Daphnia pulex: one gene and its partner. The protein of the gene in region 2 interacts with the protein of the main gene of each other region in a biochemical or structural test. Links are inferred from orthologs where the notes say so. Each region holds a gene or a part of one and is shown on either strand. Other genes may lie near its edges.

The links. The genes of interacting proteins can lie anywhere in the genome.
Region 1: the proteins of replication protein A 70 kDa DNA-binding subunit-like (region 2) and E3 ubiquitin-protein ligase RFWD3-like form a complex in vitro, tested with the Homo sapiens proteins (3 studies listed by BioGRID, with this or other methods). The link is inferred for Daphnia pulex from reciprocal best matches to the Homo sapiens genes RPA1 and RFWD3.

Annotation. Positions count from the first base shown.
Region 1 is NC_060027.1:2,170,143-2,174,370, reverse strand, and holds the start of E3 ubiquitin-protein ligase RFWD3-like, read right to left. Parts: upstream 2,804-4,228; 5' UTR 2,369-2,803; coding exon 2,101-2,368; intron 2,040-2,100; coding exon 1,909-2,039; intron 1,846-1,908; coding exon 1,651-1,845; intron 1,589-1,650; coding exon 834-1,588; intron 759-833; coding exon 569-758; intron 502-568; coding exon 345-501; intron 276-344; coding exon 82-275; 3' UTR 1-81. Other genes in the region: nose resistant to fluoxetine protein 6-like, read left to right, coding at 3,117-3,435, 3,796-4,228. UniProt on the Homo sapiens protein: E3 ubiquitin-protein ligase required for the repair of DNA interstrand cross-links (ICL) in response to DNA damage. Plays a key role in RPA-mediated DNA damage signaling and repair.
Region 2 is NC_060017.1:3,019,602-3,023,668, reverse strand, and holds the start of replication protein A 70 kDa DNA-binding subunit-like, read left to right. Parts: upstream 1-1,263; 5' UTR 1,264-1,387; coding exon 1,388-1,432; intron 1,433-1,494; coding exon 1,495-1,545; intron 1,546-1,609; coding exon 1,610-1,864; intron 1,865-1,934; coding exon 1,935-2,149; intron 2,150-2,211; coding exon 2,212-2,374; intron 2,375-2,436; coding exon 2,437-2,541; intron 2,542-2,607; coding exon 2,608-2,707; intron 2,708-2,791; coding exon 2,792-2,904; intron 2,905-2,971; coding exon 2,972-3,106; intron 3,107-3,166; coding exon 3,167-3,430; intron 3,431-3,488; coding exon 3,489-3,572; intron 3,573-3,634; coding exon 3,635-3,704; intron 3,705-3,772; coding exon 3,773-3,897; intron 3,898-3,961; coding exon 3,962-4,067. Other genes in the region: ankyrin repeat and MYND domain-containing protein 2-like, read right to left, coding at 1-253, 340-479, 548-713, 777-959. UniProt on the Homo sapiens protein: As part of the heterotrimeric replication protein A complex (RPA/RP-A), binds and stabilizes single-stranded DNA intermediates that form during DNA replication or upon DNA stress.

The DNA.
Region 1 (4,228 bases), on a different chromosome or scaffold from region 2:
TTTGTACAAAATCTCAGAGTTTTGGTATAGAAATGACCATAGTGGTAATAATAATTACTGAAAAAGTGAAATATTCCTGGTTTATGTCCACTTGTAGAAACGGGCATTCTTTTCCGACAATGCAGCAACGAAATGGACGCCATTGACGCGGATAGGGAGGAGATCCAAAACGGGATCTGAACAGGGCAGCTTTTGAAGCACTGCCGATGAATTGACGTCCCATAGCGAAATACACTGGGCGGCCTCTTGATGGGCAGCCACCATTAGCTGCTTGCCTGATGCAAATAATTAAAACAAAAATTAATTTGTGGGTCAATTCAGGCGTGAAATAATCAATAATTTACCTTCAGTGGAGCCCGGGGCAGTAAGGAGGCACGAACGGGAGAGCAACTTCTGCTGTGATCCAGCTTGGATGGTCGTAATAGCGTGACTACTGCAAAGGCCGGTGGACGAATCGCTACCCAATGGAGTCCAAGAAGGAGCACAGACGGTATGGCGAGCCTAAATGGATGACCCTTATTACCGCCAGATTCTAATTGAAATGTCAAGAACGAATGTGAATTATTACTTGGGGATGAGCGGTGCTGGGCCTAGACGAGGCCAGAAAATGGCGCGTCTCTGGCTCAATGCAAAGCGATGTGAAGGACCCATCCAAAGGCAGTGTATGTGGAACAAAGCCGTCTGTCCGTGACTCGTGGAAGACACACGACTGCAAACGCTGAACAAAGAGTCCACCTCTGGGAAAAGTGGTCACCGGACTAGCAAAAGAAAATCAAATTCAGTCAATTATCCAGGAACAAAAACAAAATTACATAAAACATTAAAAGGTTCACCTGAATGGAAGGTAAGCAAGTCCAGTGACGGGCGACATGCTGTTGGGCTCTGACCAGCACTCAACTGCATCGCCGGATTTGCGCATATCGTAAAGTAAAACCTTGCCAGTGCCAGTTCCAACGAAAAATTGGTATTTGTTGTCGGCATTCCATGCGCAACTCCAAAGAGGTGCATCGCACTGGTACGAAGTGACTGAGATGTCACTGTGGACGTTTACCAGCTTGGCCGTCTTGTCCAACGAAACAGTCAGAAGCAGGTCGTTCTGTTCCAGGTGGAAGGCCATGTCGCGGATGGGCTTTCGGTGAACGGCGATGTAACCGACAGTGCGAAATCCTCCCAGTGCGTTTACTTTCTTGATACCAGTGCCCGTCAAGTGCGAATTTGTTCCAGCATAAGACACTACGAGCAGAGTTAAATGTTCGCTATAAGACATGACGCGACACTGGCCTTCTTTACAAAGCTCCAGTGTCGAATCCAGAACTAAACGACGGCCTAGTATTCCAGGAGGTTGAGATCCAAATAGAGGACCTGCCCCCGCTAAAGGTAATTCGGCTCCCTGGCCACTGGCTGCTAAACAGGCGCCTGACAAAGCTGCACGGCATTGTTGTAACTCTTGTTGCAATCGTAAAATATCTTGCTCTTTGGCGGTTGTTTGAATTTGAAGTTTGTGATACTCTAACTCTAACCTACGACGGTTTTCTTTCTCCTGCTCTAGAGCTGACAAGGCTCTGTCTCTTTCTGTCGTGTCTATTGCCTGGAAATCAACCATTTTGATATTAGAGTAGGAAACAATTGTTTTTAACAAATTTTAGTTACCTTTAAATTTCTAACATATATAGGCCTAATATCCTTCTTTTGAGCGGACTCATTACACTGTGGACACCTGGCCCCCTTGCCACCAGAGTGAACCCAACGTTCTATGCATGCTTGCCCAAACAAATGTCCACATTTTAACGACACAACTCTGTGGGATCCAGAGTTGCTCCAAACATCAAAACATACTGGGCAGACCTATAACCATATGAATAATGCAGGATAACACAAAAAAAGTACTCCACTTAGCAACAGACTTACTTGTCCATCTTCTTCATCATCTACAGCAGTTTTGTCTTCTTTTTCTGGGAGAAAACCGCCAGCAGAATCTGATTTAGATTTCCTTGAAGGAGGCCCCCCATCTTCAGTTTCTTCATCATCATTATCTTCATCTAATGAATGAGAAATATAAAAATTATTAATGAGAAAAGGGAGGAAAATTCTTTAGCATACCTCTAGGCCTGCGTCGCCTGCCTCTGATCAAAATAGGGGACAATGGTCCATTACTTTCAGCTAAACTATCACGACTATCCTGATCTGTTTGAGCTTCATTCGTGATTTCCAGTTCTACGGTACCAATTCTGTTTTCAGTAGACGAAGGCTGGACAACAATAACACTTGCTCTTTGGTTACGTTGTTCAAGTGAGGGACCTGCAACTTGGACTTCTTCCGGATCAGCAGTATCTAATCTTACTGCTGATTCGTCGATGTCGCTGGCCATACTTGGAATATTTCAGCACGTTTTAATTAACACATTGGGCACGCACGGCACGAGTAATAAATTAATTGAAAACGAAAATGGGCGAGTATATGGTCAACTTGAGTTGGTCAACAAAAATCTTCATAAAGAAATTTTATTGACTACAACTCCATCTTTGAAGCAATGGTGAATCAAATTTACATCCGTCACCAGATGGCCCTCGGAACTTTATTAGCTCATTCATTTTGACATACGAACGGGTCGAACGCCGTGTCGCCGGATCGATTTTGAAAATAACATTTGCTTTCGACAGAGGAAATTCTTGTTTACATTAGAACTCGACGTAAATGGCACTAAAAATCTATTATCAAAGAAATAAAATGAAAAAGAAACGTTTTCATTTACCTCGATCAGAATAATTTACTGTAAACGACTCTGCCTCGACCAATAAATTCAACACTTCAAACATTGTAGACCACGCGGTGCACCAGAAACTTAGACCATAAGGTATGTGTGTTAATTTTTGATTTCATTGTGATCGGTTTGGGATCAAGCGGAAATACCATTGTGCAACGTTTAATCTAGGGGATATAGTCACAAAGCATAGATAAACCACCTTGTCACTTGTTCCAAAGATAAAAAGTTCCAACTTCCAAAGAGTACAATTGTATGAGACTGATGAGATTGATTAAGGGTATAAATTCTCTGGACGTGTTCATTAGTCGTCAGTCAAAAATTTCGGAGCTGTTGTCCTTTTCAGTCACTCGTTATGGGTTCCATGCTGTGGAAGATTACCTTTCTTCTACTTTGGGTAGGAGGCCAGTCTCAACAATTCATAAATCCGGCGTTAATCATTTCACCGGAGAGTGAACGATCTTTTGAAAAGTGGAGGAATATAATTAGCCAACAACTTCAGGAAAGTGGGTCCACTTTTGATTTAACGTCAACACTTCACAACGTTTTCGCCGCACTCAAATCTTCTTCATTCCCAACGGCGGTGGCTAAAAATATTAGTCAACAATGTTTACAAGATAGCCAGTATTACGTTCATAACCTTTACGCCAACCAAAGTCTATGGGCCTTACAAAGTAAGTTGAAAAAGAAGCTGCATTAATAATAATCATGGAATAATATTCAAAACTGAACTATGTGTTTAAAAAAATGTTGTAATAGCGTGTTTACGATATCGTTGAATGACATGGCGGATGTGTGTGGAAGATCTGTCCTATTAGTCATGTTACAAAGGTTGAATTGTATTGATTATTATATTCTCTGTCGTATAAAGAACTGATAATGAAGGATGCAAAAGGTGACTAGAGATTGAACAATGACCTTATTTTCACTTACTAATGACATCTGGTAACGATGATTAGATAACAAGTGATTATCACATCTCGAAATTTGGGACAAACATTGTGTAATTCATTAATTATTTATTTAAAAAATAGTGCAAGAGTCTTCAGCCAAGCTTCCACCGGGGTTATTTGGATCACGTAACATTCACGCGGATGGACTTTTCGATGAATGTCTGGCCGTTCGGGCACCCGGATTCGATGGGCAATACTGCAGCGTCTACTTTCAACCAGTGGCAGTCGATCAGTCCGAAATTCTACCTCCGAGATCATTCAATGAGAACCACGAAGGAAGAAGGAACTTTGTCACTATTTTTCAGCTTTTGGGATTATTGGGATCGGATCGGGTCGAGCCAAAAGTGTCCGTGGCGGATGCCAGCACTTACATTTATCCTAGTACCACATTCTGCCTGCCATCATCTTGCAGTGCTGCCGACCTCGGTCAAGCGGTTGCTGAGCTCATTGGCAGTTACGTCATCGCAAATTATTCCATCGTGACCGTGACTGACGAGCAATATTGCTTTAAAGA
Region 2 (4,067 bases):
AAAATGCTTTAACATATTGATTTAATAACTCCAAAACGGTTTTGTCGGGGTGCTGCTGCTGCTCTTTGGCCATTCTTTCGACTAGGAAACGCAAATAGTGGTATTTAAGTGCGAGGATCTCGTTGACTTCTTGGCTGCGCTTCATCTGATTTTCGCTAAGTATCTCCAAGACGTTTTTCACTTTTGTGAGGTTATCGTAAAGCAAAGGAAGTTTTTGAATAGTCAACAAAAGGTGAACTGGATGCAGATTGACCTGATAAATCAAACAAAACAAAAAGTTCAAGTGCTTTTCCGTGGCAGAATAAGAAATGAAGTGATGTGTCTATTCAAGTGCACAACCTGCATCACAAATTTGTGCAAAGCTGGTGCAGCAGCTGGTGGCAATTTTGGCTCAGTTTGATCGCTAGGAGCTACAGTGTACTGCTCTATTTCTGAGCGTGGAATGAAATTGTTGATGATGGAAACAACTGTGTGATTCCCTGGTTTGCCAAAATAATTCATTTTAGTTTTGGATGATTTGTACAAACATTATGATTGACTAGCCTACCTACAAATGCAGCCATTTGAGCTGCAGTTCTGCCTACTGAGTTAACCACATCAGGTTTACAACCACACTGAAGTAATTGTTGACAAATATCCAAATTTCCAGACAGAGCTGCAAAATGAAGGGAAGTATACTTGTGTTCATGATGACCTCCATTGGCATCAGCTCCCTTCGAGAAAAAAAGTCAACTTTTCAATCAAATTAACAACATTGATAATATAGTTAGACTTACCAGGTCAAGGAGCAACTGGCAAATATCTTTTTTCCCTTTAAAAGCGGCATGTTGCAGTAATGTCATTCCATGCTCATCCTCATCGTCAATTTCAACGTCCCGGGATTTTATAAGTTCTTGCAAACCACTAGTATCATTGTTGTTAATCTTGTCAATAGCTTTAATAAAGTTTTCCGAAATCATTTTTCGAGATTCTTTGGCAATTAACTCGTTTTTGAAGGAAATCAAATAATTCAGTCACAAATTTTCATATAACGATATAGTTTCCGTTGTCGTCTGCAACTGTTGCTATAACAACCGGACATTTCGAAAAACAAAAAATCCAACAACGCCAAAAATGCGAATAAAACGAAAACTTATTTTTGCTTCGTATGAACCTTTATTTCAGAAAAAAAACTTTTTCATTATTTTTCTTCTTTATATTTTTAGTGGTCTTCATTGAGTTAAAAAGTTTCTTAAACATTCAACGCTGCACGTTCAGCCTTGGTTTCGTTTGTACCACTGTTGTTTTCCCGCCATCGCACTTCGTCGTCTTGTCCGTAAAAACTGCTTAAAAAAATTCAAGCACGTTGACTGAACGAAGTAATCCCCGTTAAAAAAGGTTCCGTAAAATGAACAGAAGAAATCACCCAGCACTAACCAGCGGCGCAATTCCGGTAATATCAATCATAATTTCGAATTTTTGAATAAAACTATAAATATCTTTATTTCGACATAGTCCATCATTGGGAATGGCCTGCACAATGAAACTCCAATTCTACAAGTTTTGGTAAGCAACGAGCAAGATTTTTTCTTCATTTGCAGCATTTTTACATTTTCTTCTCTTACAATAGGGTTACAAAAATCTTCAGGGAGACAATAATGACCGTTACAGAATTCTCATCTCTGATGGAAAGTATTCCTATGCATATGGAATGTTGGCAACACAACTAAATCATCTGATTGTGGATGGTCAGCTTGAGAACTTTACCATCATTAGAGTAAAAAAGTTTGTTGTTAACAAAGTTGCTACTAAGGCAACTGCAGGCAAGGACCAAAAGAAAATTATCATTCTTTTGGATGTTGAGCCAATTGTGCCTGGAAGTGAAGTATGTTCACTTTACTTAGTTTCGAAATACAAATAAGGATATCTCTTCATTTTGAACATTTTTTGTTTAGGTTGGAGAAAAAATAGGAAACCCTCAGACTCTTAATGATGTTGGAGAGGTTACTGAAGAGGCAGCAGCAAAACCTGCACCTTTAGGAAATGTGAACAATTACAATATGGGATCGAAGTCTGCACCACCTAACAAAACTGGTGGATATGGACAGCCAACAGAGAAGTCTGACATTATTACCCATCCGATTGTAAGCCTTACACCCTACCAAAACAAGTATGTTTGTTGAGAAATTTCAGTACAAGAAAAATTGAATCATTAACTTTGCTTGTTTGTAGGTGGACTGTAAAAGTGAGAATTATAAACAAGTCCGATATCCGTACGTGGAGCAATTCTCGAGGTGAAGGAAAGCTTTTCTCGATGGACATGGTGGATGAGACTGGTGAAATCCGTGCCACTGCATTCAATGCCGAGTGTGACAAGTTTTACCACATGATTGAGGTACATTTAATTCAAAAACAGTGTTTGAAGTTATTTATTTACATTGTTATTTTTCGTTGTAGATCGGCAAGATCTTTTACATTTCACAAGCACAACTGAAGGCAGCAAACAAACAGTACAGCAGTATGAGGAACGATTATGAAATGTCGTTCAACCAAAATACTACAGTATGAATGTTTTTCAATCGTCAATCGTACCAGCCTCAATTTTTTTTTCTTTTACTTATTTTTTAGGTAATTCCTTGCCACGATGATACATCAGATATCCCATCAATCTCCTTCAACTTTGTTCCCATTGATCAGCTACCTAGCCTGGACAAGGACAGTGTTATTGGTAAGTTGTCTTTTAGGTGCATTAACATTACAATTCTTCTATTTGAATGGTGCCTACGATATGACCGATTGACCGTGCTTTCAGATGTCATTGGTGTGGTTAAGTCAGCAAATGACGTCCGCGTTATCGTTTCCAAAACGACAAATAAAGAATTGAGGATGCGAGAAGTTCAGATGGTGGACAGTACCAACACAGAGGTATGACTGGATTCTTCGTTTAATTGTCGAGCCCAGTTAATTAATCATTCTTGTCTTCAAACATCAGGTTAATTTGACTTTATGGGGAAAAATGGGCGAGGAATTTGACGCTAGCTCCCAGCCTGTTGTAGCATTAAAAGGAGTGAAACTTTCTGATTTTGGAGGTCGTTCTCTAGGAACAGTCTCGTCTACTGTCGTGCAGGTAAAATCAAATGTAAGACTTTCTATTTCTCTACTATTCTACAGCGCATATTTTTAATAGATCAATCCTGACATGAATGAAGCTCACAAACTAAGAGGGTGGTACGATAACGGTGGCTCATCATCGGCCGCTTCTAGCATTTCGGCGAGTCGTGGCGCTGGCACTGGTGGTAGTGGTGGGTCGTATAAGACTTTCGCTGAAGCAAAATTCGAAAACCTGGGAAAAGATAAACCTGATTTCTACAGTGTTAAGGCTATGGTTGCTATGATCAACAAAGAAAGAGCGTTGTACATGGCTTGTCCCAGTGATGAATGCAACAAAAAGGTAAACATAAATATATAATAAAACAACTCATTTTTGACAATATTTGCGTTTCCCGCAGGTCATCGATCAAAACAATGGCCTCTATCGATGTGAGAAATGCCAGCGCGAATTCCAGGAATTCAAATGGCGCATGATGCTTTCGGTATGACAAAGATATTTTATGAAATCTATTTCTCTCAAAACAGCACTCGAAATTTGTTATAGGTCAATATCGCGGATGCCACGGACCAGCAATGGGTAACCTGCTTCCAAGAAACCGCTGAAACTCTTCTTGGTAATTTTGTTTTCGAACTAATGTTACGTTTAGCATATAATATTTATTTATTTGATTATAAATTTTAGGGAAATCCGCAGACGAGGTCGGTAGATTGAAGGATTCGGATAATAACGAATTTCAGAAAATTTTCGAAGAAGCTACTTTTAAGTGGTATGTCTTCCGCCTGAGAGTGAAAATGGAGACGTACAATGTAAGTCTATGAGCATTATGAATTTCGATCTTGTTATCTGTTGACGCTTTTACCTTTTCTTTAGGATGAAAGCCGCCTCAAAACAAATGTCTATGAAGTGAAGGAAATCAACTATAAAGAGCACAACGAGCGATTGATTCGAGAAATGAAAGAAATGGCTGCATCAGAAT